Arabidopsis thaliana: one gene and its partners. The protein of the gene in region 4 interacts with the protein of the main gene of each other region in a pairwise test. Each region holds a gene or a part of one and is shown on either strand. Other genes may lie near its edges.

Region 1 (8,301 bases), on a different chromosome or scaffold from region 4:
ACTGAATAAGTACATAGACATGCCTTCAAATATCAAAAAAAATTCATAAAATGTAGTAGAGCTCAAGACCTAGGCTTCTCCTTCTTTTCCTTGAAAAGGGCCAAGAGTGAGACACCAGAGACCTTCACCACTTTGAACCTAACTCCGGGAATATCTCCGACGGCATGACCTTTACGCCCAAATCCAGCAATCAACACCTCGTCCTACACACAGTATCAATGAATGAGTAATTGGTAAGAATATAATTTGATTACTCATTCAAAAGTAGATGTCAATCTAACTTACATTTTCTTCAATGTAGTTCAAACAACCATCATTGGGGACAAAGGCAGCAATCTTTTTACCATTCTTGATCAACTGAACTCTAGCACACTTACGGATAGCAGAGTTAGGCTGCTTAGCCTCAATACCACTGCATAATCAAACACAGAGTCTCATCAAAGTCAAGATCTATACTACTAACAAAATCAAGAAATGGTAAATATATATGTTTATACAAACTTACATTTTCTCAAGAACGATTCCTTTAGCGTGAGAAGAACAAGCAAAAGGCTTCTTCCACTCGTTGCCTCGATTAGACTTCTTGTAATGCTTGTCCGCCCACCTCTGAGTAATCCGAAGCTGCTTAAGCTTGCGACCAGCTCCCATACCACGTGTCTTACTGAAGATATTCAAATAGAAGATAAAAGAAATTGAGAACCAAAGGACATTTCATCAGATGAAATCAACTCACTCAGAACATATAAAACAAATTCGGAGTTGATAAAGAACATAAAGTTATAATCTAAATCACAAATACTTAACACAAGAGGAGAGTGTAGTAAGGAAAAAAATCAAAAATCATAATCATAATTTCCACATTTCAGACCAAATAACTCCAACGTTTATAAGAAAAAACTACGAATTATAGCAACTTCGTAGCTTCAACAGGGTGATTAACAAAGTATTACTACACGACGTATGAATGTCATTCAAATCCCTTAATTCAACCATCCCGACCCGAGATAACGAAAACGGCAAGGCACCAAAGAGAAACCGGAATAAACAAAAAAAACATAAAACAAATCCTAAACCCGACATAACAAAAACACGATCACTTATAAGCGGAGAGATGAGACTGAAACATAAAGAGTCTAAGAGAGGATACCGTACCCCATGTTGACGACGGCGCGAGTGAAAAAGTCGAGAGATGAGCTGAAACTGCTAAAGGCGCGACGTTTTAAGTTCGTGAGAGATTGAAAAACCCTAGTGATAAGAAAATAGGTATATATAGGCTTGGGTCAAGACTCGTGAGAGCCCTGGTTTAGGCATTAACCGGTCTGCAATGAAATTGATTAAACGGCAAATGATTATTTTTATATTTGGGCTTAACAAGAAGGCCCATCACATGTCAACCCAAATATTATGCCAACTCCTTAAGGTAATAATACGGGAAAAATGTCGTTTTATACGTGAACTTTAAAAAATGGCCATTTAATACGAAAATTTTTGTGTGGCCAAATAAAACATAATAAAAACGTTGACCGGCCGTTTCACACAAATATTATTGTTGACTACGCCAAAGTCTCCATGCCGTTATCTTTCATTAACGGATCCGTTAATTCCGTTAACACATGTTAATTAGTTTCCGTCAATACTCAAAACGACGTCGTTTTATTGAAATCAAAAAATCAAAATTCCTAAAATTGATTTCAAAATCTCTAAATTCCAAAAAAACAAATCCTTAATTCCTAAATTCCAAAAATCAAATCCCTAAATTCTAAAAACCAAATCCCTAACAGCCTCTTATTTTCAGCAATTGGTCGTCGTAATAGTCATCGTCGTAAAGATCCTCAAGAGAGCTAAAGAAGGGCCTTCGCTTTGATGTTTCCTCCTTGTTCATCATCGATCTTGTTCCTCCCCCTTCGTGAATTCAAACGAACAACTGCTGTCAATAGTCGAATGTTATTATTCATATTCAAATTGGTTCTCATGTGTGTGTGTTCGTAACATTTTATTCACAAGACAACAAAACAAAAACAGGGAAACTTCCAACATGATGAAATAAGATTATGAGAGTGAGAAAAGAACCTTGGACAACGGGATTGAGATTCCTAAAGAAGAACATGATGTTGCCATGTGAAGCAGATGGATTGAAGAAAAATGAATTGGATTCCATTTTGGAATTTAGGGATTTTGAAATCAATTTGGGAATTTTGATTTTTTGATTTCAATGAAATGACGTCGTTTTGAGTATTACAGGAAACTAATTAACGTGTGGTAACGGAATTAACGTATCCGTTAGAAAAAGATAACGGTATGGGGATTTTGGCCTGGTCAACAATAACATTTGTGTGAAACGACCGGTCAACATTTTTATTATGTTTTATTTGGCCACACAAAAAATTCACGTATTAAATGGTCACTTTTTGAAAGTTTACGTATAAAACGACATTTTTCCCGTAATACCGTATACGCTGCATTGAAACATTCCAGTCCTAGTCACGTGCACGGTGCACCTACTAGCCCACGACTCCCACACTATCCGCCACGTCAGAAAACGAAACCGGTTGTAGCAGGTAAAAGGCACACAAAGCTAAGCATAAGGAAGCGCGCGACACGCACCGGTTCAGCCGGTACTCTGCGTCGATAAACGACATGCAAGACCGTCCATTTTCTTAAAAAAGCGATCTTGATCTGACGGTCCTTATTTGTTTATTCAACCGGTAAAATACAAAAAAATCAGGAAAAGGATCGTGGATCGTCAATGGCGGACTGGAGTAAATTTCTTTGACAATAACCAGTCCTAAATCAAGGTAGAATATTGCAAAAATGTTCAATGGAAGAAGATAGATTGGTGACCATGATTATCAACGACGTCTAAGCTGTTTCTGCGTCATTTGGTAAGTGAAGCTTTTGTCTCTTTCGATTTCTCTAATGCAAAAAAAAAGGGAGAAAGATTTTGATTCGTTATTGAAATTATTCTCTTTGAGTTATTTTAATTAGAAAGAAGTAATTTTTATATATATTTGTCAAGAAAAAAAGTGAGCTTGAAGTTCACGCTTGTAAAGGTGTCAGTTTTGCAGCTCATTATCGCCATGTTCTTCTCTCTCGCGCTCTTTGTGTTTTCTTCTCTTTGCTCATAAGAACCCACTTTAATGTATGTTCAGGTCTTCTTCTTCTTCGTCTTGTTGCTCTGAAGAGTTGGTCCTGACTTGGGATTTAGGGATTTCGTTTTGATAATGGAGGAGATGCGAAGAGGAGTGCCTACGTGGCAAGACGAGTTAGCTAGTCTCATGGACGGAGGTTTACAATACGACGGATCTCCGATTGATTTGACGGCGGATACTGAATCGAGGTCAAAGAGTTCGGGTTTCGAGTCGGGTTCTGGATCCGAATCAGTGGAGAGTTTGAAAGATCAAGTGACGGGGTTTATGAAGTCTTGGGGAGAAATGCTTATGGATCTCGCAATCGGATGCAAAGACGTTGTGCAGCAGATGGTGGTGACCGACGACTCTTTCGTTGTAAGGAAGCTCCGGAAACCAGCTGCTAAGGTTTCGAAGAAGCTTAGCTTCCTTAACGAGTACTTGCCTGAGGATCGTGATCCTGTTCATGCTTGGCCTGTGATTTTCTTCGTCTTCCTCCTAGCTCTCACAGGTATATTATCAAACAGTTTTCTGGTTTTGGATCACCATTATGTATCTGCAATGCCACACTCTTATAATGAACAGTTATTCAAAATGTCTGCTAGAAAACTGTGTATTGGGATGAACCTTATAGAATTTTTTGAGGTTGTTGTATGTAGTTAACTTGATTCTGCTTAGATATTGGTTTAAGTGGCAGTCTTGAATAGATTCTCGTTGGTGCAAGAGAGGCTTGTATCCTTACTCTGACATATCCAACTTTTAAGTGCAGCATTGAGTTTTAGTTCAGACCATGATAGATCTGTCCCTTTGTTGAAGAAAATCCGTCTGCATCCTACTAGTGCAAGCCGTGTACAGCTTCCAGATGGTAGATATTTAGCTTACCAGGAGCTTGGTGTTTCAGCTGACAGAGCTAGACACTCTCTAATTGTTCCTCATTCTTTTCTTTCCTCTCGGCTTGCAGGTATGATCAAATAAGCTCCTTGTTTCAGCTTCAGCTTACTTTTAATGATGCAATTACATCTGATTTGCTTCTACTGTTTCAACATTATCTTATCAAGGTATACCTGGAGTAAAAGAATCATTGCTCAAGGACTATGGTGTTCGTCTAGTGTCATATGATCTTCCAGGGTTTGGAGAGAGTGATCCCCATCGTGCTCGGAACCTTAGCTCATCTGCCTCGGATATGATTGACCTAGCTGCTGCTCTAGGGATTGTTGACAAGTTCTGGTTACTCGGCTATTCCAGTGGTAGTGTGCATGCCTGGGCTGCAATGAGATATTTTCCGGACCAAATAGCTGGTACCTTCAATTTTTTGGATAAAATTTGAAAATTCACAATTCATGGCCAACTCATGTTTTTCACAGAATGACACAAAATAATATGGGAAGGTATTGATTTTTATAAATCTACAGGAGTTGCCATGGTAGCGCCTATGATAAATCCATATGAGCCAAGCATGACAAAGGAAGAGATGGCAAAAACGTGGGAGCAGTGGCAACGAAAGAGGAAATTCATGTACTTCTTAGCACGTCGGTGGCCAAGTCTTCTTCCTTTCTCCTACCGTAGGTCCTTTCTCTCTGGTAATCTCGAGCCGCTGGATAAGTGGATGTCAGTGTCATTAGGAGAAAAGGTAAGTCTGTATTCATCAAGTGTTTCTTCCCAAGGTTTTGAGTCTTTGTGAGTTATGGCTCACAAGCTAAACCTGTATACACCACTTTTCTATTTCAGGACAAACTTGTAACCGCAGATCCAGTTTTTGAAGATCTTTACCAAAGGAATGTGGAGGAGTCTGTACGCCAAGGAACTGCAAAACCATTTGTGGAAGAAGCCGCATTACAGGTATCAAATTGGGGCTTTAGTCTTCCCGAGTTCCACATGCAGAAGAAGTGTAGAACCAATGGCGTCCTCTCTTGGCTAATGTCAATGTACAGTGAATCCGAATGTGAACTAATTGGTTTTCGGAAACCTATACACATATGGCAGGTTTGTTGAAATCACACTTAAAACCGCCATCTACAAGATCACCTTTGTCAAGTTGTGAGTTACTCATTTTGCTTGTGGTCACATAGGGTATGGACGACCGAGTCACTCCACCTTCAGTGACAGATTACATTAGTCGAGTCATACCAGAAGCAACGGTACATAGACTCCCAAACGAAGGCCACTTCTCTTACTTCTATCTCTGTGATGAGTGCCACACGCAGATCTTTTCGGCCATATTTGGAGAACCAAAGGGCCCGGTAGAGTTATTGGAACAAAGAACGGAAACCCATAGACCGGATCAACCAAAGACAGGTTTATCTGACAGTAGCTCACTACCAAAGAGTAAGTAAAAAAGAACTATAGGAACACGTTGTTCTTGGTCTTCGTTCCATTATGGAGAAATGTGTAAATAACACCAAGAAGATGATTTAGTCCTCTGCTTTGGTTGAAGATTTCAGATTCTATAGGTTATAACAAAGCAGAGTTCATTTTGAGAGTACATTTGGCACTGCAAAGAGTGCAAGTGAAAGAACATTTTATTAAAGCGGCTATCCCTTAATTGGAAATGCAATATTTTTTTCTTCTTATAGTTTTATGTTTGAACAAAACCAGAATCCGACTAGACTCATTTTCAGTTTGGTTTATATATTTCTCACGCTGAAAAAGTTAAATACCCACGTTATACATCATCATGATAAAAAAATGAACTAGACCAATAACTTGGAACTACATGGCTTGATAGGATCAATCAATCTAATGGTTATTGCTTAAAGAGAACGATCTAGACTAACTACTCGAAACTAGGCCACATGGCTTTGTGGTTGGGATCAATCGACCTCACCCAAAGGGTTTCAAAACGCAGAACCAGAGTTCTTGGTTTTTCCAAGCATCATGTCTTTGGCTTCATTGATCTTAGACGCAAGGTAATGGCTTCCTCCTGCATCTGGATGATTAGCCACCATCACTCTACGGTGAGCTTCCTTCACCTTCTCTGCCGCTACACTCTCCCTATTCAAACACCACAAGTGACAAACTCATCAAGCCATAATAATGTCGCAAAAACCACCACTAAACATATGCAAACCATTTACCCTTGTGTAAGAACATAGTTTGGCCCCTATGCAAACTTGTTAAAAACTAGTGTGGCATACCTACTGCCTATAAATGATCATTTACCAATTCTACCAAAAATGAAAGAGTCAGAAAGAAACTCCCCTATGACTAGCCAAAGATGAAGATATATTTAAGAACAGGAGGAGTCCCTCGAGGAGGACTAGTGTGAGAAACCATACCGCCTATTTCAAATCATTTACACAGCGGAGACTTTACAAAACTAGCAGAAGAGAAACCTTATTTAAAACAAAAGTCCCAAGACCACTAGTATCATTTGTAGTGAGAGGCTAAACTCTAAAGACAGAAAGAAAGGTACCTAACACCGAGAATTAGAGCAGCTTCTCTTCGATTCATAGTAGCTTGGAAACCACCTTCATAGAATTTTCGCATTCTAGGCCTAACTGGTCTCAGCTTAAACGCTTGCCATGCCTCTATTCCATATTTACCAGCATAAGCAGCAGCAGCAACAGCAGCGCCTGCAATTATCGCTGCAACCTGGAGAGCATACGAGAAGCGAAGAATATTATTCCATACGTCAGACAAGATGAAACAGAGTAAACCATAGAAAAAACACTCTGATACTGACACAAACCCCAAACACAAATGAGCAAAAATAAAAGCAGAAGCTCTAAAAAAGGAGGATTCTTTTAGAAACCCTAATCGAATCAAAGGGATGCTTTGAAATATCATCAAATCATTTTTCCAAAATCAATCAGCAAAAACAGTAAAGAGTGGAAATTGTAGAGAACCCCGAAAGAAGAACATACGCAGGCAAACTTACCATTGTTGTAGAGGATTTGAGCTAGACAGTGTACTGAAAATAAACACGATCTGATCTGATAGGAAACAACTCTTCAGTGTTCGATTTTGTCGATCAATTTGAGGATTAGGGTTTTAGCTATTTCCTGGTTTGCTTGGACTTGGCCCAGATAGGTTGGTTGCGTTGCGTAAATAGTAGTCGAAACCTTCTAACTCTTTTAGTGGGTTTTAGATTTCTTTCGATATGGAAAAAAATAAAAACAGAACCGGTTTATTTTCTCTTGGATTCGGTTTTATCAAATCAATAATTTTGGTATGGTTTAAATTCGGATCAGTTACATTTAGTTTGCATCCATTAGTACTGAGAGTTGTGTATACTCTTTATCTTTCAAAAACTTGGTGTTAAAATCTTGAATAGAACTAATAGAGAGTTGAGAATGAAGAAGTAGTTGGCAACGTCAACAAAATATGCGTTTCACTGCCAACACGATCATAATGACACAAGACTACAAGAGAGTTCTTCAAGTTGTAAGTATTATTCTAGTTTTCTTTAATATATGAAAGAGTGAAATAAACAATAGAGAGACTTACACTGCACAAATGAATCAACGTAACACTTTCTTGTAACCAACATTGCTTATACTTGATACACAATCTCATAACTCCATATTCATTGCGACAAAAAATCATATAATGATGAATTACTATACCTCGGTTGGTCACGGCGTTCTCTCTGCCTTGAGAACGCCTTTTTCCACCTTTGGCGGGGCGGAGGATCGTCTGGGTTTGGGTGCAGGTGAAGCCGAGGTGGAGAGCCGTTTCTTTGCTGGTGCTTTCTCCGGTAATATACTGCTTTCCTCTGTTGTGGATGTGGTCACCGCTACTCGTGATGAGGTTTGAGACTTGGGCTTGCCTCGTGCTGATTTTGTTGTAGGAATCAGATTGCTACTACGCCTAGCAGTTGAGCTACTCAGGGTCTCGTCATCACTAACCGATGGCCTAGCAATGCTGGGCCTACGGTTCCTCTCCGAGCTCTTGGCCTCATCATCACTGCTTTTGGATTTTATGGACGATGGGATGGGCCGCTTCTTTCTCGGGTTTCTGGTGGCTGTGGATGATGCTGATGGGGTATTGGGTTTAGTCGAGCTATTGAGTTTGTTGCGGTTTGAAGATTTTGCTGTTTCTCCTCCTTGGGAATTACGGTTAGTCGAGTTCTTAACCGAGGAGTTGTCGTTGTTGGTGGTGTTTTGTTCTTTCTCTGAACTCTCCCATGGCCGGCCAGCCATCCACCTCTCTAACCAGCTCCAACCCCAAGTCGGGT
Region 2 (9,136 bases), on a different chromosome or scaffold from region 4:
AAAACATCATTTACAAAAAATAAAGGATTTAGCCCAATAAATCATTTTTTTTTTGAAATTGTTGGTGTATTTAATCAACAAATTTACAAAAAGAAGAATTACGTTAAGCTTTAAAGAAATACAAATATATATGAATTTATATTTAATATTATTTTTCTTCTTTTTTCTTATACTTGAACATATTTTTTTTTTATTGGCGATGCTCAAAGAGAAAAAAAATGTTTGTGCTCCCTTTGGTTATGGGCCCCTGGTTCTTAGAGCTGATACTAAGAAAATGTCACTAAATCTCAAATATTTGGGTCAAAGCCCATATATGGTCAGATAGAGGCCCATTCAAAAGGTCTGAGATATGGAGGGAGCCGGGAGGAGTGGTCTAGTCTAGATATAAATAAACGAATAAAATGGTTTGGCGGGCATTTCTTCAAATGCCAACGAATCTCGAATATTCCATATATTACCTGTCATTTCCCTTTCTCTGATAAACTACATAACAAAAACAAAAGAAGAAGAGGGACAAACATTTTGGGGTTTACATCAGAAAAACAAGCTGTACCTATTTCCAATTCCGAATAAGATAATTAGAGTTTAATTAACCCTAATAGATTATTTTAGTTTCTTTTTACAAAGTTGTTAACTATGATTCTGGCATGAGACAACTGAGAAAACATATTGCTCGGACTTGTGTCGGTGAGACCCGAATCAGAAGAAATTGTTTAGAGGGGAAGATATTGAACGTTGGATCAGAGGGACCCATACAACACACCCACCAATCCAAGGGTCGCGATCTATTTGAGGTGGCAAATGGTTCCCACTTACCCGCAGGAATATTATGGGACCGCTCCTTAACTCTTGCAATGTCACTTGTTGGTGCATCCCACTCTTCTCTTCCTTCTTCTCTCTTCAAGATAAAGCGATAACATAAACAAATGATTATTTTTACAAGATTTGATTTGCTGCCTATATTACTCCATTATGCAATATAATAAAATACTAATATTCCAGATCTTTATACGGTTTTAGATACCAATAAATATCTGACACTGAACTAAATCGATAAAAAGTATAAATAAAGCACCATATGTTATTAAAATATAATTCACATAAAAAATATCAAATAATTCATAGATTTGCCTATAAGCAAATGACTCGTCCGTGACTGTTAAATGAAATTAATCGGTACAAGTTATCTATGGAAAACAGTTCAACTATTTAACTATATCTTCTACTACAGTGTCTTTTTCGTTCTAATTGAGTAATTCATAAACGTTTAACTAATTCGATTGATACTCATCAACGCCTTATAGCATTGTCAATATACAACTATAAACATTGAGATGTCACCAAATTTTGGTGAGGCTAAATAGAAAACATTATAATTACGACGACGACGATAATCTAATCATATATCATGGAAAGTCACAAATCTTACCGTGTAAAATCATTCGCCTCTTTCTAATTCAATTATTGTTTTAACTTTAATTAGGTGGATTGGTTTGAATTCTACGTTTACCACACCAGTCACCACTTGGATAAACCTTTAGGCCATGAATGATATTATATAATTTAGAAAGAAATGGAAACTAAATCGTGATTGAAAGATAAAAGTATGTCAGCCACAAAACTAGGAAAGATTTCCTTTACATGATAATAATTTTTTCGAGATTCATTAGCAACCTGCAAAAGGGAACAAAGATAAAGCATGAGTGGTCACTAGTACTCACTGAGTACCCAAAAAAAACACAATTAAATGCTAAGAAAATTCCACAAAATAATTTTTTGGTTAAGATATTTTATTTTATATATAAAAAGGTATTTATCCGATTGGAGGGTTGCACACCATTCAATACACTTAATTACGTCAGCCGTTCGAAAAGGCCCTCCGATATATCCTCCTCTCTCACAAACTTCTTCAATTTTGTATTCACTGGCAATATCTATGTACGGTTTGGTGCACTGTATCTTCTTACACGACTGTCTCGTATCGTATGAAGATGAGATTAAAATGAAAAAGTATTGGAATCTAACCTAATCGAACAAATGCCAAAAATAATTTAGTACAACGTCGAATCGAATTTGTGAAAGTACTATAGAATCGATTCACATTAGAGACGAATACGAGTTTTTATTCCACTTTAAATTTCATCGTAAACTGAAAAGTTTTTTTTTTTTTTTTTTGCTTTGCATTTTTCTTTTTTGCTTTATCTGACACGTAGATATTAATCAGCACACGGATGTAGTTTTATCTCTTTGCCAAAAAAAGAGAGTCAAATCCTCAAATTTAATCCTACATAAATGAGAATTTTGTTATTGTTAATCATAGCTTTTACAATTATAGCAAGCATTTACTTTACCCCAATAAAGTTTATGGCAAGCATTTATATATCGTGGATTGGTAAATTAACAATTTTATACAGATGGCCTGTTTTAATTAAAGGGTTAGATTTTTCACTATGGCTTTCATTTAAACAATTAAAAACCCTGATATTTTAACTACGTATTTCCATTTATCCTAATCATGAAATTAATACAAAATGATTTAGGCTCTTAACTATATCTTCTTTTTTTATTGTTCAAAGCTCTTTACTATTTATCCATATTTGATAATATGTACACTGAATCCATCTTTGTAAAATAGGAAGAGAGAATTAAATGATATATTTTAGACCAAAATACACCCGATTTGGTAAATACTCAGAATATACCATATGGATCAGATAAATCATAATCTTCACCTAACTAAATTAATTTTCTACCACGAAGGGGGATTGACTACAAAACCCGAAAAGTACTAATCATGTACTTCCAGATCCGACGGCTAAAAACGCATCGATCAACACGTAGTAGGTGTCTTTCGCCCTAAACTCAACGACCAAGATGAACTCAAGCTTTACTTTGCTGTCGTGTCCGACAACTACCGGATAGATGAGGATGAATCTAAATTCGGACAAATAGAGCGTAGTCAACACGCGCGTAAATGAGTTCTGATGGTGTAGCGTAAAAACCGTGTACCCAACCGTACCGGATTCCATCTATCTTTCTGGATGGGAGCATCCAAAGAGAAGAAGGAGAGAGCTAGTCTTATATAACGACACGATATCCTCACCTATTTACGCCTCATTTTCTTCTTCACCTCTCTCTCTGTGTGTGTTCTGTGTTCTCTCTCTCGCGCGAAGCGGTTCTCTTTCTTTTGTTTATTTGTTTTTATTTGTTTTTCTCTTATACGGAGGAGAGAAGATGGTGGCGCCTGCTTTGTTACCGGAGCTCTGGACGGAGATCCTTGTACCGATTTGTGCGGTGATTGGTATCGCCTTTTCGCTTTTCCAATGGTACGTTGTATCTCGCGTGAAACTCACCTCTGACCTCGGCGCATCGTCTTCCGGTGGAGCTAACAATGGGAAGAATGGATACGGTGATTATCTAATCGAGGAAGAGGAAGGTGTTAATGACCAGAGTGTTGTCGCTAAGTGCGCTGAGATTCAGACTGCTATTTCCGAAGGTAAGATCTATTGATACTTTATTCAGATCTCACTGTTCTGTTTTTAGATCTGGCTCTGTTTTTTGATTGGTGGTTGTTTGATGATGTTTTGGATTGTTAGAACGTTGAAATTACTAATTCAGTATCTTGTGAAATCTGAGATGATGTGTGTTTTCTGAGTGAATAATATTGGGATCTGTTTGGTTGTTGTGGGGACAGGTGCAACTTCATTCCTATTCACGGAGTACAAATATGTTGGTGTCTTCATGATTTTCTTTGCTGCTGTTATCTTTGTTTTCCTCGGCTCTGTTGAGGGATTCAGCACTGATAACAAGCCTTGTACTTACGACACCACCAGAACCTGCAAGCCTGCATTGGCTACTGCAGCTTTCAGTACCATTGCTTTCGTGCTTGGTGCTGTTACCTCTGTTCTATCTGGTTTCCTTGGGATGAAGATTGCTACATACGCTAATGCTAGGACCACTTTGGAGGCGAGGAAAGGTGTTGGAAAGGCGTTCATTGTTGCATTCAGGTCTGGTGCTGTGATGGGTTTCCTTCTTGCAGCGAGTGGTCTATTGGTGCTTTACATTACTATCAATGTGTTCAAGATCTATTACGGAGATGACTGGGAAGGTCTTTTTGAGGCTATTACTGGTTATGGTCTTGGTGGGTCTTCCATGGCTCTCTTTGGCCGTGTTGGTGGTGGGATCTACACTAAGGCTGCTGATGTCGGCGCTGACCTTGTCGGTAAAATTGAGAGGAATATTCCAGAGGATGATCCAAGAAACCCAGCTGTAAGTACACCATTTCACTGTGTGATAACACTTTGCTTTCTTTTTTTCAATAGAAGTTAAGACTTATTTTGGTTGGTTATGTTACAGGTCATTGCTGATAATGTCGGTGACAATGTTGGTGACATTGCTGGTATGGGATCTGATCTCTTTGGATCATATGCTGAAGCATCATGCGCTGCTCTTGTTGTTGCCTCGATCTCATCTTTCGGAATCAACCACGACTTCACTGCCATGTGCTACCCATTGCTCATCAGTTCAATGGGAATCTTGGTTTGTTTGATCACAACTCTCTTTGCCACTGACTTCTTTGAGATTAAGCTTGTCAAGGAGATTGAACCAGCATTGAAGAACCAGCTCATTATCTCAACTGTTATTATGACTGTTGGTATTGCTATTGTGTCATGGGTTGGCTTACCGACCTCCTTTACCATCTTCAACTTTGGAACACAAAAAGTTGTCAAGAACTGGTAATTTCCTTGTGGATGATTGCTTTTGTTTTTTTCCTGCATTTCTCTATTCAAATTTCTCGTTGCACTTTTTTAAGTCTTGCATTATTTTGGATTTCAGGCAGCTATTCCTTTGTGTTTGTGTTGGTCTTTGGGCTGGACTCATTATTGGTTTCGTCACTGAGTACTACACTAGTAACGCCTACAGGTAAGACTCATTTTAGCTGTATTTAGTCACTAACTTTTCCCAGCTAGTAGAGCTAACTCTTATGTCCTCCTATTCTTGCAGCCCTGTGCAAGATGTTGCAGATTCATGCAGAACTGGTGCAGCTACCAATGTTATCTTCGGCCTTGCTCTTGGTTACAAATCCGTCATTATTCCAATCTTTGCTATTGCTATCAGTATATTCGTTAGCTTCAGCTTTGCTGCTATGTATGGTGTTGCTGTTGCTGCTCTTGGTATGCTCAGTACCATTGCCACTGGTTTGGCAATTGATGCTTATGGTCCCATCAGTGACAATGCTGGTGGTATTGCTGAAATGGCTGGAATGAGCCACCGCATCCGTGAAAGAACTGATGCTCTTGATGCCGCTGGAAACACCACTGCTGCTATTGGAAAGGTATGGAGCCTTCTTAACCTCTTTCTGCAATCCGATGAATTAATAAAAGAGCTTGCTTGCTTGAACCATTCCTCAGGTTGCCTTTGCTTGTGTTGTATTTTGACATGTTATTCTGGTTTGTTGTGTACAGGGATTTGCCATTGGCTCTGCTGCCCTAGTCTCCTTGGCTCTCTTTGGTGCCTTTGTGAGCCGTGCAGGGATCCACACCGTAGATGTTTTGACCCCTAAAGTTATCATTGGGCTCCTTGTTGGTGCCATGCTTCCTTACTGGTTCTCTGCCATGACAATGAAGAGTGTGGGAAGTGCAGCTCTTAAGATGGTTGAAGAAGTTCGCAGGCAGTTCAACACCATCCCTGGACTTATGGAAGGAACCGCAAAACCAGACTACGCCACATGTGTCAAGATCTCCACCGATGCTTCCATCAAGGAAATGATACCTCCTGGTTGCCTTGTCATGCTCACACCTCTCATTGTTGGTTTCTTCTTTGGAGTTGAGACCCTCTCTGGTGTCCTCGCCGGATCTCTTGTATCCGGTGTTCAGGTAAAGTATATTCTCAATTCAATTGTGAATAACTATTCTTAAAAAAAATGCTCATCGATGCTCTCTGTTTATTCTATTCAGATCGCCATATCAGCATCTAACACTGGTGGTGCCTGGGACAACGCCAAGAAATACATCGAGGTAATGGAATTTTCTTGTAGCTTAAATCAAACCATTTGAAAATATGAAGTCAAATCCTTAAGCATTGTTATATATTCGCAGGCTGGTGTATCAGAGCACGCAAAGAGCCTTGGACCAAAGGGTTCAGAGCCACACAAGGCAGCTGTGATTGGAGACACAATTGGAGACCCATTGAAGGATACTTCAGGACCTTCATTGAACATCCTCATCAAGCTCATGGCTGTTGAGTCTCTTGTCTTTGCTCCCTTCTTCGCCACTCACGGTGGTATCCTTTTCAAGTACTTCTAAACTCAATCCGAGGGAAGAAGATGACGATGATGAAGAAGAAGAAGATGATGATGGCGATCGATTCTAAACTTTCTTTTTTACCATTCTTATTTTCGTTTACCGTAGGTGGTTAAAAAACCTTTTTTGTTGATGAGGCTCATTTAAAGAACCAACCAAATGATGTTTCTTTCTCTCACTCTCTGTCTTTCTGTTTTCTTTTTGTTCTGTTTAGAATTTAGAAATCCACCAAGTATTCGGTCGAGACTTGTTTTAGCCGTTACTTTCTGCTGCTTATATTTCCTAAATTGGTTGTCTTCTTCGAGACATAATTGGAATTTATTGTTACTGTTAGTCTTTTGTCGGCGTTAGGTGTAAACGATTCTCAATTTCTCATGATCTGTAAATTCTTTCATGACATTTATTACCACAAACAACAAATGATTTTACACAGCTGTAGTTTCTACCTAAGACTCTCGAAGAGCTTCTGCTCCAGCCACAATCTCCAGCAACTCCCCAGTGATCTTAGCCTGTCTCGCTCGGTTATAAGCCATCGTCAGATTCTTCTTCAATTCAACCGCATTATCAGTCGCATTACTCATCGCATTCATCCTCGACGCAAGCTCACTCGCTAAAGATTCCTGCAGTGCTCTTAGAATCTGACTGTTGAGATACAAAGGCATCATTGCATCAAGAATCTGAACAGGGTCTTGCTCAAACTGCATCAACGGTGAGATCTCAGGCTTCTCAACTTCAAGCTTGGTCCTTTCCACAGCTAACTTCCCATCTTTGCTCGTTAGCCTAAACATCTCATCCTCGATAGCATCAACACACTCACCTTTCACATCACAAGACTCTCCTTTCATCGACAAAGGCAACAGAGTGTGGATCACAGGATCAGATTTCACCAAAGACACAAACTTTGTGTAAACAAGCTCAACTTTATCAACCTCTTCACTGACAAACAAGGAAAACACATCATCTGCAATAACTTGAGCTTCTTTAGTCGTTGGGAAAACACCTCCTCCTTCAATACATTTATCAACATCAAATTCATCTCTCCGACTAAAATAAGCATTCCCTTTCTTACCTACACTTATCACAACACAGTCTATTCCTCTCTGCTTCAACTCTTGAACTCGCAGAGTAGCTTTCTTGGTCACTGCATTGTTGAAACCACCACACAATCCTTTATCGCCAGTAACAACAACCAAAGCAACTCTCTTCACGGGTCTAACAATGCTCAGAGGAAAATCAATGTCTTCTAATTGAGCAGATTGGTTAATTGAGTAGAGAATCTCCACAAGAGTTTCAGTGAAAGGTCTACCCTTTATGACTGCATCTTGAGCTCGACGAACTCTAGCTGCCGCCACGAGTCTCATCGCTTCCGTTATCTTCTGGGTATTCTTCACACTGTCGATTCGTTCTCGTAACTCTCGGATTCCAGCTCGAATTTGAATTGAGGGCAACGGAGATCTCGACGAAATCCGGTTTGGTGTCAGTGATTGAAACGGATAATAACGAACTGGTTTCAAGGTAGCTATGAAAGAGTAGGACTCTGAGCTCGAAGCCGAATTCGAATTCGAAGGAGACGACAAGAGCCAAGAGGTCGAGATCGAACCTGTCATTTTCGTTTGGGAAAGAAGACCCTGAACTTGAGAGGTTTAAGATTTCATCTTCTCGTGAAGAAATGAGCAAAGAAAGAGAACTTGAGGGGTTTTCTGTAATTATCATGTTTATTAGGGGTCAGTATATAAAAATTACTACAAAAGTCAAAATTAGAGTTTTTGTTTTTTTTTTTCTATGAGAAAAACGAGGGAAATATCAATAACCCTCCTAAATCCTAATAAAAATTACTACAAATAGCCAAATTAATAGAAAACCAAAAAACAACAACTATAGTCAGCATATGAAAATTACGAAATTTTCTTTTTAAAGATTCATATATAGGAAGAGATTGAACTTTAAAGTAACAAATCAAAATAAAATTATGGACAAATAAAAACTCTAGTCCTTCAGAAAAAGAAATATTGTAAATGCGGGTTACTAAATACAAATGAATACAAAACAGTACCTACAAATTTCCTTGGAACGACTTTTAATTTTGACCTCAATTTTTTATTTCCATTATGGTCCTTGTGTTGTTGTGTATTTAGCATTTTGTTTTTCTTGGGTCAATCAGCATCACCACGTTTAGGCCACGACATAAAATTGATCCGTTTATTTTTGAGGCTCGCTCGCATCTTCTTCCTCCTTTGGCGCAACCGCTTCTTCCTCTTCTATTCTCACAGATTTCTCTAAGCTCCCAACTTTGGAGCTAAAACTCAATCAACACTACTCACAATGCTACTCCATTTCTCTCCGGCGAAACCCCTCATTTCTCCACCCAATCTCCGCCGCAATTCACCCACATTCCTCATTTCCCCGCCGCGATCTCTTCGAATTCGAGCAATCGACGCCGCCCAAATCTTCGATTACGAAACCCAACTCAAATCCGAGTACCGCAAATCCTCTGCTCTCAAAATCGCCGTCTTGGGTTTCGGCAATTTCGGCCAATTCCTCTCCAAAACCCTAATTCGACACGGCCACGATCTAATCACTCACTCCCGCTCCGATTACTCCGACGCCGCAAACTCAATCGGAGCTCGTTTCTTCGATAACCCTCACGATCTCTGTGAACAACATCCCGACGTTGTCCTCCTCTGTACCTCAATCCTCTCCACAGAATCAGTCCTCAGATCATTCCCTTTCCAACGTCTCCGTCGTAGCACACTCTTCGTCGATGTTCTCTCCGTTAAGGAATTCCCAAAAGCCCTCTTCATTAAATACCTTCCTAAGGAGTTTGACATTCTCTG
Region 3 (7,671 bases), 7.3 Mb from region 4:
TTTATTTTCTTTTGTTCTTTTTCAAGTTTCAACTCTCCTCTATAACTGTTTCATAAGTTGGAAAAGAAGAGAGTTATTAATTTCATCACAATGCTTCCCTTCCTCGGAACTTCGATCATGTCAAAATATCTTCTAATCTCTTTCTTCTCTCATCTAAATTAACAGCAACAAAATCTCAAGAAGATGGAGAGCTCAATTGGGTTCATGACAGTCTTCGCCGTCTCTGGAAGCGTGGTGCTTCTTGCAGCTCAGCTTCACAAGCGTCTCCTCTCTGGTTACATGGACAAGCTCGAACCTCCTACTAAGGAAAGAAAGAAAAAGAAAAAGAAAGTGAGCTTTGCAGAAGATATGGTGGAGCCGTCAGGGAACAACGAAGAGTATCGCCGGAGTTTTCGCAAATCATCAAAGTTGGAGGATGAAAGATGAAGTCAACATTCAACACATGAATTTTTCTGTGTATTTGTTTTCCTTATTTGGTAAATATTAAGTGTACACCGCTCTTCACAAAATTAGGAGCTAGACCGGACCACATACCCCATTCCATGTCTTTTTTTTTTTATTATGCCAAGTTGTCAATGGACGTAGATGTAGATGTGTTGTTGATGTTCTCATTCGTATCTCGAGTAGCGTATAATTAGTACCAGCCAAAATTGGTACACTAGCGTATTAATTAGAACCAGCCAAAAGAAAGATTCAAGATGACGTAGTACTTGGGCTTTTGGTATAAAGCCCAGGCAGATTTGGAGTTTACATTTTTGGGGAGAACATATATTTAGCTTCTTTTTTGTTTTTTTCTCCAACAACATGCATTGGTTAAAATATGGATTATGACTTACAACGATAGTAATACAAATCCTGGTCGATTAACAATCTAATAGTCGATCAATCATCACTGCTAGAAACAGTGCCGCCTAACAGTACCCCTGAAACCATAAATGGGTTTCTAGTTAGGTAAACAATATAAATTAGTAACTACAACATACCAATGTAAGGACGTGAATTTATATTTGTCCTATCAATCTTTAATTTTATAAGAATGAATTAGTATGAATCAATGGTAAATTAATTGCAGGGATACTTTGATTAATAATGTCATATTACAAGATCTTCATAATATCTCGAATGGCCATGCATCTCGCATCTACCCTAAAAGTTTATATACAATGCATGCTTTTTCTCAATTATTGTCAAATTTATATTCTTTCTCTAATAGAAAAAAACCTTTTAAATCACCAATTGACTTTTCTTTTCGAAATAATGGAATCATATATATTGACACCTAATAAATTAAAATGATTAAGAAAAACTTAATAGTGAAGAATTCCGTTTCTGTTACGAGTGAGGAGGAGCTCTATGGCCAAATTTAATATCAAGAAATTGAAAATATTAAAATGAATACCAATAAATGTTTTTCTTCTCTATATAATGTTGGTGGGACTGACTGGGAACGGAGCTTCGAATCAAAGAAGAAAGCCAACTACCAAAGACAGTGTCGGTTCGACGGCGATGGCAAATCTAACGGCAGGAGAAACGTCGCCGTTTCAGATCATTTATTAACGTCGAAAACGAGTTTTATTAAAAAAATTATTTTATTTGATCCAAAACGAGATTTATTTTTATATTATCAAATCATACGTTACGACTTTTTACGCGCTTTTTCACCACACGTACCATTAGCAAATCATACGTTATGACTTTTGCGTAAAAGGTAAAAACTTGTTTTACATCTGTCTCACAAAACTTGTAACTTGTATATTCATTTTATTGATCAAGTAGATGTAGATCCCCATCACAAGATGTGTGTTTTATTCATTATGACGACATATTTATGTGTGATATATAGGATAAAAAGATAAAATTAGATTTATGTTGGATGTATTTGTCTTAAGTCTTTTAAACAAAGATTCTTGAAAAATGACACAATGTTAGATCAAAAGTTTTAATCGATACATTTAGACTAAAGACATCTTACCTTCCTTCACTGGTTTTCTTACAATGATTTCAATATGTAGTAAAATAAAATGTGTTGTTTATTGCTATATGAGACTCATGGGTCTAGAAAGTATAAACTATAAGTCATTTGGATAGGGGTTTCTCTATAATTTCACCCACGAAAATGGATTACAATGTAACTTCATTTCATAAACACTTTTAACAATGCTATAACATTCGACTATGTTTATCACCGAAGATTCACTTATTAGGCTTTCTTCTAGTACATCCAGAGAAAACTTCGCATGTGTTCGACTGGAGCAATTTAAAAATGAATGATTTTAAGCTAAGTAAATGATTTTTAGTATCTTGAGAATATGGACAAACAAACAAAAAGTTTGTAAAGAATGACAAAGAGGAAACCCATGAAAAAAAGATACAATATATGGAAGCTCACAGACGATGACGGCATGAGAGTTATTATGACATACAAACCAATCGATAAATCTTTAACAATTTACTGAAATATTTGACTAATAATCTTTTGGTTTTGGAATAATGAACCGATCGACCGTCATATAAAATATAAATGATTGGATCCACGTACGTTGGTGGCCGAGCCTCTGAAAACGAATTTGATTTATCTATTTTGCTAACTAATCACCTAACGTAGTTTTTGTGTCTCAATGGTTGTACAAAAGATAAAGTCTCAAGAATTTATTAACAAAAGAAGTGGCCACGAAGAATGGAATTTTGTTGTATCAATGAAGCATAAGTAGTACCATAGTATTTTAAAATTCGAAATGCAAATCAAATTTCAACGTGACAACATATGTTGTATAATAGTTAATCATAGTAAATAGCACACATTGCAGCTAATAATTGGATTTACAATTGTTTGAGTCGTACGTTTTGATCTGTTGTTTACAAGAAAAAATACAAAGATGGAAAGTTCTAACTTCAAGTGAAGTTCAGATATCGACCGAGTCAGAACACGACACGAGGCTCGAAGACAGAGGCATAGTGCTGAGTTGTTCAACAGAAGCAAGTAAAAACCTTTTGTCTGAGAGAGAGGCTCCGAGTTAGGCATAAGCCAAACAACTTGACACGACACATAACCTTTGCTTCTCGTGTAGACCCAACTTTTTACCCTTACCAAAAATATAAAATAAAATATGCAAAAAACACACCCACTCAAAAATTAAAATTTTAATGAAAGAAAGAAGAAACTTCACATCAGCATCAGAATCTCTCTTTCTCTCTCTCTCCTTCTTCACAAGCAAAAAAACACCAAACCATTTTTCTTTCTTCATTGTGCCGACACTTCTTTCCCCTCTCTCTCTCTCTCTCCACCGCCATGGATTCCTCCTATGGCGCCACAAAGTTCCTTCTCCTCCTCTTCCTCACCACCTCCATTGCGACCGCATTACCCGATAACAAACCAGTACCGGGTCAAATAAACTCAAACTCAGTCCTCGTAGCTCTCCTGGACTCTCACTACACAGAGCTAGCAGAACTAGTCGAAAAAGCTCTCCTTCTCCAGACCCTCGAAGAAGCAGTTGGTAAACACAACATCACAATCTTCGCACCACGCAACGATGCCTTGGAACGAAACTTAGACCCACTCTTCAAATCTTTCTTGCTCGAACCAAGAAACCTCAAATCTTTACAATCTTTATTAATGTTCCACATTCTTCCTAAACGAATCACTTCTCCTCAATGGCCTTCTCTTTCTCATCACCACCGTACTCTCTCCAACGACCATCTCCACCTCACCGTCGACGTCAACACTCTTAAAGTAGATTCCGCTGAGATTATCCGACCCGATGACGTCATTAGACCCGATGGTATCATTCACGGCATCGAACGTCTTCTCATCCCTCGCTCTGTTCAAGAAGATTTTAACCGCCGTCGTAGTCTCCGTTCAATCTCCGCCGTTATACCAGAAGGAGCTCCTGAGGTTGACCCTAGAACTCACCGTCTCAAGAAACCATCTCCCGCCGTTCCCGCCGGAGCTCCTCCGGTTCTTCCAATCTACGACGCTATGTCACCAGGTCCTTCCCTAGCTCCTGCTCCAGCTCCCGGACCCGGTGGTCCACGTGGCCATTTCAACGGCGATGCTCAAGTTAAAGATTTCATCCACACTCTCTTGCATTACGGTGGCTACAACGAGATGGCTGATATACTCGTCAACTTAACCTCTTTAGCCACTGAGATGGGTCGACTCGTGTCAGAAGGCTACGTTTTAACCGTTCTTGCTCCTAACGACGAAGCCATGGCTAAGCTCACAACGGACCAGCTTAGCGAGCCAGGTGCTCCTGAACAAATTATGTATTACCACATCATACCGGAGTATCAAACAGAGGAGAGTATGTACAACGCTGTTCGGAGATTCGGAAAAGTGAAGTATGATTCATTGAGATTCCCACATAAAGTGTTGGCTCAAGAAGCTGATGGATCTGTCAAATTCGGACACGGTGATGGTTCAGCTTACTTGTTTGATCCTGATATCTACACGGACGGTCGGATTTCAGTTCAGGGTATTGATGGAGTCTTGTTCCCGAAGGAGGAAACGCCGGCGACGGAGATTAAACCAGCTGCTCCGGTCGTTAAGAAAGTTTCTAAATCAAGAAGAGGTAAAGATAAATTTTCCATTTCTTTACTCTTTTTGTTACGATTATTTTTAGACGCTAATTATTCGGTCAATAAATATTTGACATTGACATCTAAACACAAAAATTCATCATTGTTTTGTGTCATTGAGTGTCAAAAATTCTTATTCTAACATTTATTAGTTTATTACTGTACTAAACTTTATGTGTGGAATGAAACATTAATCACATAGATTAGCACTTAGCAGCCATGAATTTGGTCGTATAATGAGAGTAGAAGTAAGAAAACATGTGGGATTTGGAATAAAGTAGAGACTTGTGAGAGAATGAAGACAAAACTCTCTTAACAAATTTTGTTTTTTAATATTCCGCTTACTTTTATTCTTTTTAATTCTTTAACCCACCGACGAATAATCCCATATTATCATTAAATTAAGGAAAATGATTTTTATTTGTTCTTTATAAAAGACAAGCTGTGATTGAGACACATTGGTTCGTTAACGACAGCTTGTCTAAATTTTCACTAAAACCCAAACCAAACTCTTTTTTTTCTGGTCTTTTGGGTTTTGTTTCTAATCATATATTCATTTGCACTTAATCATTGATTAAAGTTACTGATGATATGATAATATATGCAGGTAAATTGATGGAGGTAGCTTGTAGAATGATGGGGTCACGGTTTATTCCGTGTCAGTGATTTCACACGTTATCAAAAAAAAATTCCAAGCTTCCAAATTCTTAATTCTGTAAACATGTGGAAAAAAAAAAGAAAGAGTTGAATATGTAAATGATGTGATTTTTGGGTTCGTTGTTATTTGCATGTTCTATTTGTAATTTTTTTATTATCATAAATATATATATATATATACGTAGATTTTGATTAAGTTTGTTATTTGGGGGTGAGTAAAAAAGTTCTAGGAGTTTAGAGAAATCAAATATGTAATACAAGTTATACAATCTGTATGGAAATAATAAAGGAAGGATCCATTTGTGTGCCTATTCTATTCTATTCCATTCTCTCCTATCAATTATTGATATCTAATTCTGTAAATAGAAAATGTCTGTCACATATTTGTTGCATATAAAATGTGTGATTGGAAATGGTAGTTGCAATGTACATAATGGTATACATCAATTAGCATAATGTACATTTATTCACCTTGGTCATAAAGTCAGCGTATTTATTTATTCTTTGCAAAAAAATTATAACAATATTCTTGTGTGTAACCAACCAAACACAAAGGAGAATTAAGTATTCAGATCAACAGTAATTAATTGGGCATATTACATATAAACAGCTAAATTTCACATGATTAAACTCTTTGGAGAACTATTTGCTTTTTAAAACAAAAAAGAACTTTTCTATGTATGTTTTACAGCGAGATGATGAATGATATATTTCACAGCCTAGGACACGAATCTTTAATGTTACTATTAAGACGGTGAGAGAAGATATTACAAGAGTAAGTGGGCACTGGCCACGAGGGCAGGTGAGCTGTGGTGTGGCTTTTGTCCTCATGTATTAAAAGCCTGATTCTCTCTAGTCTTTTGCAAATGAATGTATCACTAAATTCTTTCTCTGGAATTTCACAAAACTATCTAATAGTAAGTCAAAGTCAAACGTTATGATGTGTTTTGATATTACAAAAGGTGAAAAACTAATCAAGGAATTACAGTATTTCAAGTTTGTGAAATGTAGATCTAAAGCATGATCTCATATTCACCACAAAACATGTCGCAAATACGGAATACCCCACAAGGATCGATATTTGTAGCTGACCTTAGTAAACCTCAGCTGTAAATAAAGACCCCACTAGCCTCTCCTTAGACATTAATTATTTGCACAACTCACCACTGTTATACACTTCAAATTCACACATATCTATGCTCGTGATACATATTTGAGTTCAACACATTTGAGACCATCTTAAGAAGCAATCGAGGCTTAATTTTCCAAAAAATAAACTGAAGGAATGAAGTATAAACTCTTAAAAAAGTAGACGCAATGCAACAACTCTATTCACATTAATGCTTTAAGAAAGAAAAAAAGAAGCAGACATTAGACATCGCTGCTGAATGCTCTCTTTGCTTCAGCCTCCCACTACAACCTCACTCGCCATTATCTCAGCCTTCACTTGGATGTTATTGGAGTTTGGTTTCTGCTCTTCAGGTTTCGCAGCCACGGCAGTAGCCTTCTCTTCTTCTCCTCTCTTCTCTGCTTCTTCTTTCTTCACTTTCTTTTTCTTTTCTTTGGCCTTCACTGATTTCTCTTGAGTTTCAAGCTTTGGCTGAGACTTTGTTATTGGTTTCTTCACTGTAGATGATGATGAGTCTTTTGGTTTTGTCACGCGAGGAGCGGCTTCACCTCCTGTTGCATCACTGCTACTCTTTCTGCGTCCTAGCTTTGGAGACTTAGGACGAGTAGTTGGTATCTGCAACATTTTCATGGAGCACGGTATAAGAAAAATAGTGTAGCACAAGTTTGATCACATAGGAAGAGAAAGAAGCAAACCTTCTTCAATTCAACCTTAGGTGGGGGTTCTTTGTAGAAACTGGGCATGGGACCAGCCTTGAACGTCAAGCTCTTCCTCAACCTTTTGATCTCTTCTTCCTGGCTCTCCTAAACAAACACAATCCATTTAACCCAAAAAATGACAAATGTCACAGACCAATAAGAGTTTTCTTCCATTATAGAAGAGTCTTATAAAGCTTACCTTTGATTTCGCCTGCAAATTGGTCTTCTCTACTTCCTTTGCATGGATCTTCTCTTCTAGTTTCATATAAAACTGAAAGGTAAACCCGACAAAGGAGACACAAGTTAGGAAGAAACAAAAACTTACTTGAAAAAGTTAGAATGAAAATGTTGTAAGAATAGAGAATGAGAATTAGCAGCAACCTCCTTCCGTTTTTCAGCCCGTTCCTCCAACCTGAACGAAAATCCAGATGCCGATCCAACACTGCTTCTCCGCCCACGAGGTGTAGAAGTTCTGTTGAACATCCAAACATTATATATAGAGATACATATATCATTAATAAACATGGAAGATCATGAAGAAACTGCATACGAAGTGGTAGTTGAACGAGTGTCTTCGTCGTCCTTGCTTGCCATTTCAGCTTTCAACGGGTT
Region 4 (7,080 bases):
CGCTTACCCTGTTGTATTTTATTTTTTTCATTGTTTTGTTTAAACTTTAGGTTTTTACGCTGATTGAACTCAAATGCCGATTGTTTTGCTTGTAATGCGAAAACTAATTTAATATTATATCAATGTATAATTAATTAGCTAAGGTACATTTAGCTGATATTTAAATTCTAAATACTTTTAAATAGTAATCTATACACTTTGTTAATAAACTACTTTTAGTAGTTTTTATTTTAAATTAAATTTTAATCTTACACATTTCATTTTTACTATATAATTTAGCTATTTATTTTATCGTAAAAATCTAAAATTGAGTTTTAAATTTTTTTTCTATTGAAAATATTTGAACTTCTAAATAGTAATCCACACACTTTGTTTTTGTAGTGATATTGTGTCACTTATTGTAGTTTGAGGCTTTCAGCTCTTGTTTTTTTTTGTGTGTTATATAATCTTTATTATTTTTGACAATACTATTATATAAAATCTTTTAAAATCTATTACTCCCTCTGTTTTTAATTATATATAGTTTAAATTTTTTTTATTTTTTTCAATATAAGTGTTGTTTTTATTTTTCTATGCAAATATTAAATGTATTTAACAGTTTTTAACCAATTATATTTTAGATTGTCGGAAAAAAAAGAAACCAATTATATTTTAGATCATATTTTTTTATTGGTTGCATTAGTTATAATTAATAATATTTTATAGAAAAAAAATAAATTAAATGAAATTTGTATGTTTTTTTAATTTGTGTACAAAAACCTTAAATTACAAATATTTAGAAACAGAGGGAGTATGATATTAACTAGTCAATGTTTACTTCAGCCCAAAAAAAACTCGTTTTCTTGAGTCGCAACAAAATCAATCACATAAATTAATTGGAAAATCTGTTTAACAATTTTAGTTTGAAAAAACAGAATGAACAAAAAGACAAAAGAAAAAGAAAAAAAAAAGGTCGGTGCCGTATTGAATATCACCAAAGTCCACTCCACACCCAAGAAACCGCAACAGCCAAAACGACCAATGATAACGCAACTGAGATTCTACTTGACGCGTCAGAGACGCTAACTGCTTCCGGTTGCAGAGGCGGAGACACACTCTTCTCAAAGTCTTCACTAATTCAAAACACAACAACAACAACAAAAATATATAAAACAGTTAACAAAACTTCCAAAATATGAATTTTGAATAATCTAAGATTCATTAAAATTACCAAAAAACACTAAAATTAACATTTTTCGAATATTACTTTCCTTATTTAGTAAATTCAGTAGCAAAAATATTACCTTGAAGGAGAAGGACAGAAAGTGATGACGTAATCAGCACCGGAGCAAGTAAAAGTGCTTGTGCCGTCGTCATAAGCGTAACTATAAGCCGTCGGACAAGTTTTCTTAAAGAAAACAGAGTACTCACTCGGCTGACACGTGTCCGGCGTTCCAAACGCGCCGTTACAACAAAACTCCGGCGTTCCAAACGCCTCACAAGCGCTCTTGCACGCCACAGCACCCGTTCCAGCCGCTTCAACCGTTACTTTCAGCTGCTCCGGACATAAGCCGTTGAGATCCGCCGCGCAACCCGTTGCGTTACACTTACCGACTCCGATAGCTCCGCCGTAAGGAACGATCGTCATTGGGATGTTGTAACCATCGACGAGGCTAACGTCGTAGAAATCTAGATTTTCGGCGCCGTTGAGTGTGAATTCGGCTAGTGTAGCTGGAGGGATTGCTCCTGCGCCAGAGCATTCGATTTGGGATGAGCCGCAGTCGCCGGTGACGCAAGTGAATATTCCGGTGATTTCGTTTTGGTTGCAGAGCGTGCGTCCCCATATGCGGCCGGACCAAGCGGCGGGTATGGAGATGAGTCGTGACTCAAAGGAGTTGAGGGAGAAACCAGTGGTGGGTAATGGAGCGGTGCCGGCGCCGGAGAGAAGTCCCGGCCAGACGGTGTAGTTACACTGGTTAACGATGGTGAACGTGGTGGAGGAACCACCATTGATGAAAAACATAATCGCTAAGAGAAAGCAAGAGACTTTAGCCAAATCCATTGTTACCGTTTGATGTTGTATGATTCAGGAGAAGTTAGGGATCGTGTTTATATAAGAGAATCGGGGATTTGTGTTATGGAAAGTTTCATAATATCAATTTTCCCTATATGAGTTTTGCCATTACAGAATCCGATACATGTTCACTCATCATTTCCTTTATTTCAATATTCTCATTAATACTTGTGAAATGGAAATTACGAATCAAGCTAGTATACTTGTTATCCTTTTCGAAAATTATACATTTTTTTTTTATAACTATTTGTTGAGGATCTCTTCCTAAATTCAAAACTAGAAATTTAGATAAAGGTTAGAGGAGGAAAAAGCTCTCTTTTGTTTGTTAAGGAAAAAGTTATTTAGTTTAAAGACTTTGATAGGAAAGAGACATGTATGGTGTTGTGTAGTAAGTTAATTGTACTGGAATTGGTGGGATTTTGTATTAACGGAAATAAAGGAGGTGTTGGACATTAGAAGCTTGTCTTTGTATATGTTAAGAAAGATCAAGTCACTTCCAATAACAGAACACGTGGGATCCAAATGTTTATATCCGAAAGATTCAGCTAATCACAAGTGTAATTAGGTTAAAAAAAACTAACGGGATTAACTTCATCATCTTCTTAAAACATCACGGTAAGTAGAGAAAAAGAAACCACGAACTGACGAACAGGCATAGGCACTACAAGATCACGCACACCATGTCTCTCCTCTGTTCAGGAGATTCTCCTAAAACAAGATCTAAGTAATCTAAAATATCAAAAGATTATTCTTAAGCTAATATCTCTGTTTCATCAAGAACAAGAAAAACAGCAATGCAGAGTATAAGTAAACCAGTTACAGGAAAATCTTTAAGCTCTCCAACAAAGAGGAACCAAGAAAGACTTGTGACTCATCTCTTTGTATTTACAAGTTAGTAAAAAAAAGTCTCAAATCTTGGTATATAACAGAAGTGACCATAACAGATTGAATTTTCAAGTCATACAATCACACTCATTGCAAGGAAAGACAAGAAACTGTAAATAAGCAAGCACACATATCATTCAAGATCTCAAACTTATGGCATCAACAAAAGCAGTGAACAGGTTGCATAAACCAGTCAAAAGAGTAATATAGAGAGATCAAAAACTCCCAAAACAACCATTCTTAAACATCCTAAACGACTTTAGCAATCACATTATAGTCACCAAAAAGGAGCATTAGGTAGATTTTAATAGAAAACAAAAGAGGTTTATGAACATTACTCTTCTTCTTTGCATCTTTTTGTTAAGCAACCGAAGTACATTCCCTCGCAAAGTGACCTTCCTTGCCGCAGATGAAGCACTTGTTACTGCCACCGCCACCTCCGCTGCTTCCACTTCCTCTCCGATCACAGTCACGAGCCAAATGGCCAGTTCCTCCACATTCGTAACAAGCACGACCACCACCACCACCACCAGAAGGTATCTTGCTGGTGCAAACTTTCGCAATGTGGCCAACTCCGCCACAGGTATAACAAGTGCTTCCACCACCTCCAACGTTTCCACCGCCGTTTTGCCTACAATCCCTAGCGAAATGTCCCACACCACCACACATGTAGCATCCATCACCGCCAGATCCACGACCACCACCTCCTCCGTATCTGTTTCCACCAGAACCACCACGACAATCCTTTGCCAAATGACCAACCTCACCGCAACTGTAACACGGACGACCACCTCCTCCTCCTCCGCCGCTGTTTCCACCACCGCTTTGCCTACAATCCCTAGCGAAGTGTCCCACATCACCACACATGTAACATTCACCTTCGCCGCCAGATCTACGACCACCACCACCTCCAAAGCTTTTCCCACCACTTCCACCGTCACAATCCTTAGCCATATGACCAACCTCACCGCAATTAAAACAATTACCTCCGGATCCACGGGAGCTGTTTTCCTTCTTATTAAGTGAACCGCCGCCGGGAGCAGTAACTTCAATGGCCTTAGTCTTTCCGTCGCTTCCAAGCGCGATTTCGTATTCAACCGATTCACCAAGAGTCAAGCTACGGAATCCATCGGAGACAATTGAGGATTGATGAACAAAAAGCTCTTCGCCGCCATCATCGGGAGTAATGAAACCGTAGCCTTTTCCATCGCTAAACCAACTAACTTTTCCGATAGATCTCGCCGCCGATTGATCTTCCATCGCCATTAGATCAGAGAAAAAGGTTAACAAAAACTCGAAGCACTTTGTTCGTACAAAGAGAGGAAATGGGTAAAATGAAAACCCTAAATTGCTACTTGCTAGATCTATTAACCCCAAATTGACCTTAAATTCGCCACGTCAGCTCCTTCTCTATCGGCGGCAGTTACCACGTGTGCATTTTGGATCAGGCCCATGGTTCACATAATGAAATGGGCCTATTTATGTAAGAGTTTCAAAAGAACTAAGCAAAATTGATAAGGTTTGATTTCACACTAACTTTAAAAAAAATGCTTGAGATGTTTTATCATCTCTTAACCATCCCCAAACTCTGGGAATTGGATGAAAATGCAGTCTATAATTATCACTTTTTGCAAAAAGAAAGGGATATTCATAGTAAATCTAAAGTAAATATGACATGATTTAGATTATTATGTTATACTTCTACTAGAAGAGAAAGTGTTTCACACTTTTGGTTGTTTTATCTAAACAATATATTATATTTTGATATTATATCTATTTTTATGCAACTTATTTTGCATCCAAATTTTCAATATCCCAGCTCACTTTTTTAATTCAATGAACCAATACATGGATGATATTATCCGAAGTTCAATTGTGAAGAAAAAAATGATTCGATCATATTTTCTTCTAGAAGCAAGAAAAAAAGAACATCCCAATTACTTAAACTAATTATTGGATATCTATCGTCTATTATATATATATATATATTATATATTTTGATAATGTATGGTGTCGAACATCAACAATCTTCTGCTTCCCATTGTTTATGGACAGCATAGCTTTTGTCATGACAATGCTATACTTAAGAAAATGACAAGAGTTCCTTTTTTTATTTATTTTTCTTTTAATGACAATAGTGAATTTATAATTACTTTTTTTTTGTTCACATTTAAAATAGTTATATATATGTGAAAAGAATATGAGTTTTTTTTTGTAAATATTATGAAAGATTCGTGAGATGCAAATGTTCCAGAACATGGCATGTTGAAACAAGAGTGACACATGGATTATGATGACGAGAAGAAAAGAACCTTGTCTGTCGTATTTGCTTAGCTATTTTGGTGGCCCTGGTGAAGGCAATTTAAATTGACTATAATTATTATCATCATAAACGTCATGTTAGTATAACTCTGAAATTCTGAGCAAGAAATTTGACCCAATGTTAACTCTTTGAAATACCGTTATTTATATAACTTTTACCCAAAAAAATTAGAATCATAAAATTAACCCATGCATGCATACCTAGTTGATTGCACAACGTTCAAACTAAAAATGTTTATAACGCCCATAGAAAAAACTCTCAGTAACCCTCCACATACACATATCACATACATCGGAATTCACGATATGCGATTGTAACGTCTCTAAAAATTACTCTTTTCACAGTCGCGTGACAGGAAAAAATTCACTGCCACCAAGGCAAACAACGTTATCGAACTTTCGATAGACTAAGACCATGAATGGTAACATAGACCACACCCAAAACCGCACCGCAACAGTATTAAAATCTTTACATATATATGTATTTATGTATTTTTGTTACTATTTGACATAGATCTTCTTTTCTTTTATTGTCGATGTCGGCTGATTGTGCGACTAGAAAAAAAACACTCCCAGCTTTTTAAATTAGGTGACTACAACATAATACAACTAAAATTTTCTAAGAATGCTATATGATTTCAGTATGTAAATCTTACCTGTAACAAAAAAAATCTGTTTCTCCAAGGCTACATACTATTGATTGCTAAGTTGGAACACTTTAAGTTATACATAAATTTTTATTTTCTTTATTAGATGGTAAATACTAAATACAGACTACTTACTACTTATGGATACAAAGGCTAAAAACGCGACAGATCCTACGTGGCACGATAAACCGTGTTGATCCTACGTGGCACAACCACCCAGAATCTCTGGGTTTGCTCTAATTACAACCAATTCAATGGTTTTGGACCAACTCGACACATCGAGTCAACTCGCTACCAGCACTGATCGGTTTCCCAATTCCGTCCACCGTAACTGCCGTATCCAGCCGTTAACGGCCGGCTCCGAAGAAGAGTCCTCCGATCATAAACGGCGCGTTTCTCGGGATCCGAAAGCGTGCAATACGCTGCGTGGATCTTCATGAAATCGTCCGCCGACGAGTTATCCCGACTATTTCTCGCTACATCGGGATGACAGATCCTGGCTAGTCGCCGGTAAGCTGATTTGATCTCTTGACTCGTCGAGCCGACGGGAATTTCAAGGATCTCGTAGAGAGACGCGGTTGCTGAAAATCGCTGCGGGATTTGGCGTAATCTCGGTAGATCTTCGGCGCAGGTGTAGGACGCGGTGGTTGTAGAAAGCGACGGCGAGATCCGGGAAATGCGTGACGGTGGTGAAGTAGAAGAGAACGACGGAGAAGAAGAAGAAGAAGAAGAGAGAAATGGAGTAGCGAAGAAGGTTGGGGAAGAAGAAAGCATCGTGAAACGACGGCGTTTTTGTTTGTCTTTTGGTTTAAGTTCCGATTTGGGTTTTGTGATGCAGTGTGATTTGAGATGAGAAATTAGAAAGGTTTATTTATAGGGGAAGAAGTGATTAGTACGTATAACGTTTAGTTAGCTTTTAAATAATTGAAGATTAGGCAGATTAATGTATCTTGTCCGGTTAAGCAAAATCGAACCGGGTTGGGTCAGTGTGTTTTCGGATCTTGAGAAAGCTGAGTCAGACTAAAAGGCTTATCCACAGTTGTAAATAATGGGAGAAGTGAGATAAGATTCAACGAACGAACGAACTTGAGAGTGGCAATGAAGTTATTATTGTCATCTACCAAATTTTTCTATTTTTGGTATCATATAACAAAACTTGATAACATTATTATT

What was found.
Region 1: the proteins of CSP3 (region 4) and AT3G09690 interact in a two-hybrid assay, tested with the Arabidopsis thaliana proteins (one study listed by BioGRID).
Region 2: the proteins of CSP3 (region 4) and AVP1 interact in a two-hybrid assay, tested with the Arabidopsis thaliana proteins (one study listed by BioGRID).
Region 3: the proteins of CSP3 (region 4) and FLA16 interact in a two-hybrid assay, tested with the Arabidopsis thaliana proteins (one study listed by BioGRID).

What each region holds. Positions count from the first base shown.
Region 1 is NC_003074.8:2,969,135-2,977,435, forward strand, and holds AT3G09690 (alpha/beta-Hydrolases superfamily protein), read left to right. Parts: upstream 1-2,678; 5' UTR 2,679-2,882; intron 2,883-3,039; exon of another isoform or gene 3,040-3,149; 5' UTR 3,150-3,221; coding exon 3,222-3,636; intron 3,637-3,894; coding exon 3,895-4,086; intron 4,087-4,183; coding exon 4,184-4,423; intron 4,424-4,537; coding exon 4,538-4,755; intron 4,756-4,853; coding exon 4,854-5,108; intron 5,109-5,194; coding exon 5,195-5,458; 3' UTR 5,459-5,709; downstream 5,710-8,301. Other genes in the region: AT3G09680 (Ribosomal protein S12/S23 family protein), read right to left, coding at 63-203, 286-412, 506-661, 1,153-1,157; AT3G09700 (Chaperone DnaJ-domain superfamily protein), read right to left, coding at 5,960-6,116, 6,538-6,716, 7,003-7,005; IQD1 (IQ-domain 1), read right to left, coding at 7,700-8,301.
Region 2 is NC_003070.9:5,395,881-5,405,016, forward strand, and holds AVP1 (Inorganic H pyrophosphatase family protein), read left to right. Parts: upstream 1-3,045; 5' UTR 3,046-3,234; coding exon 3,235-3,496; intron 3,497-3,694; coding exon 3,695-4,269; intron 4,270-4,356; coding exon 4,357-4,736; intron 4,737-4,836; coding exon 4,837-4,923; intron 4,924-5,004; coding exon 5,005-5,335; intron 5,336-5,465; coding exon 5,466-5,876; intron 5,877-5,957; coding exon 5,958-6,017; intron 6,018-6,098; coding exon 6,099-6,305; 3' UTR 6,306-6,639; downstream 6,640-9,136. Other genes in the region: ATPC2 (ATPase, F1 complex, gamma subunit protein), read right to left, coding at 6,749-7,909; AT1G15710 (prephenate dehydrogenase family protein), read left to right, coding at 8,625-9,136. UniProt on the Arabidopsis thaliana protein: Contributes to the transtonoplast (from cytosol to vacuole lumen) H(+)-electrochemical potential difference. It establishes a proton gradient of similar and often greater magnitude than the H(+)-ATPase on the same membrane.
Region 3 is NC_003071.7:15,056,570-15,064,240, forward strand, and holds FLA16 (FASCICLIN-like arabinogalactan protein 16 precursor), read left to right. Parts: upstream 1-3,193; 5' UTR 3,194-3,289; coding exon 3,290-4,568; intron 4,569-5,182; coding exon 5,183-5,241; 3' UTR 5,242-5,553; downstream 5,554-7,671. Other genes in the region: AT2G35850 (uncharacterized protein), read left to right, coding at 184-426; AT2G35880 (TPX2 (targeting protein for Xklp2) protein family), read right to left, coding at 6,635-6,976, 7,057-7,164, 7,259-7,330, 7,441-7,531, 7,610-7,671. UniProt on the Arabidopsis thaliana protein: May be a cell surface adhesion protein.
Region 4 is NC_003071.7:7,760,978-7,768,057, forward strand, and holds CSP3 (cold shock domain protein 3), read right to left. Parts: upstream 4,300-7,080; 5' UTR 4,205-4,299; coding exon 3,299-4,204; 3' UTR 2,551-3,298; downstream 1-2,550. Other genes in the region: AT2G17860 (Pathogenesis-related thaumatin superfamily protein), read right to left, coding at 1,101-1,107, 1,284-2,041; AT2G17880 (Chaperone DnaJ-domain superfamily protein), read right to left, coding at 6,199-6,681.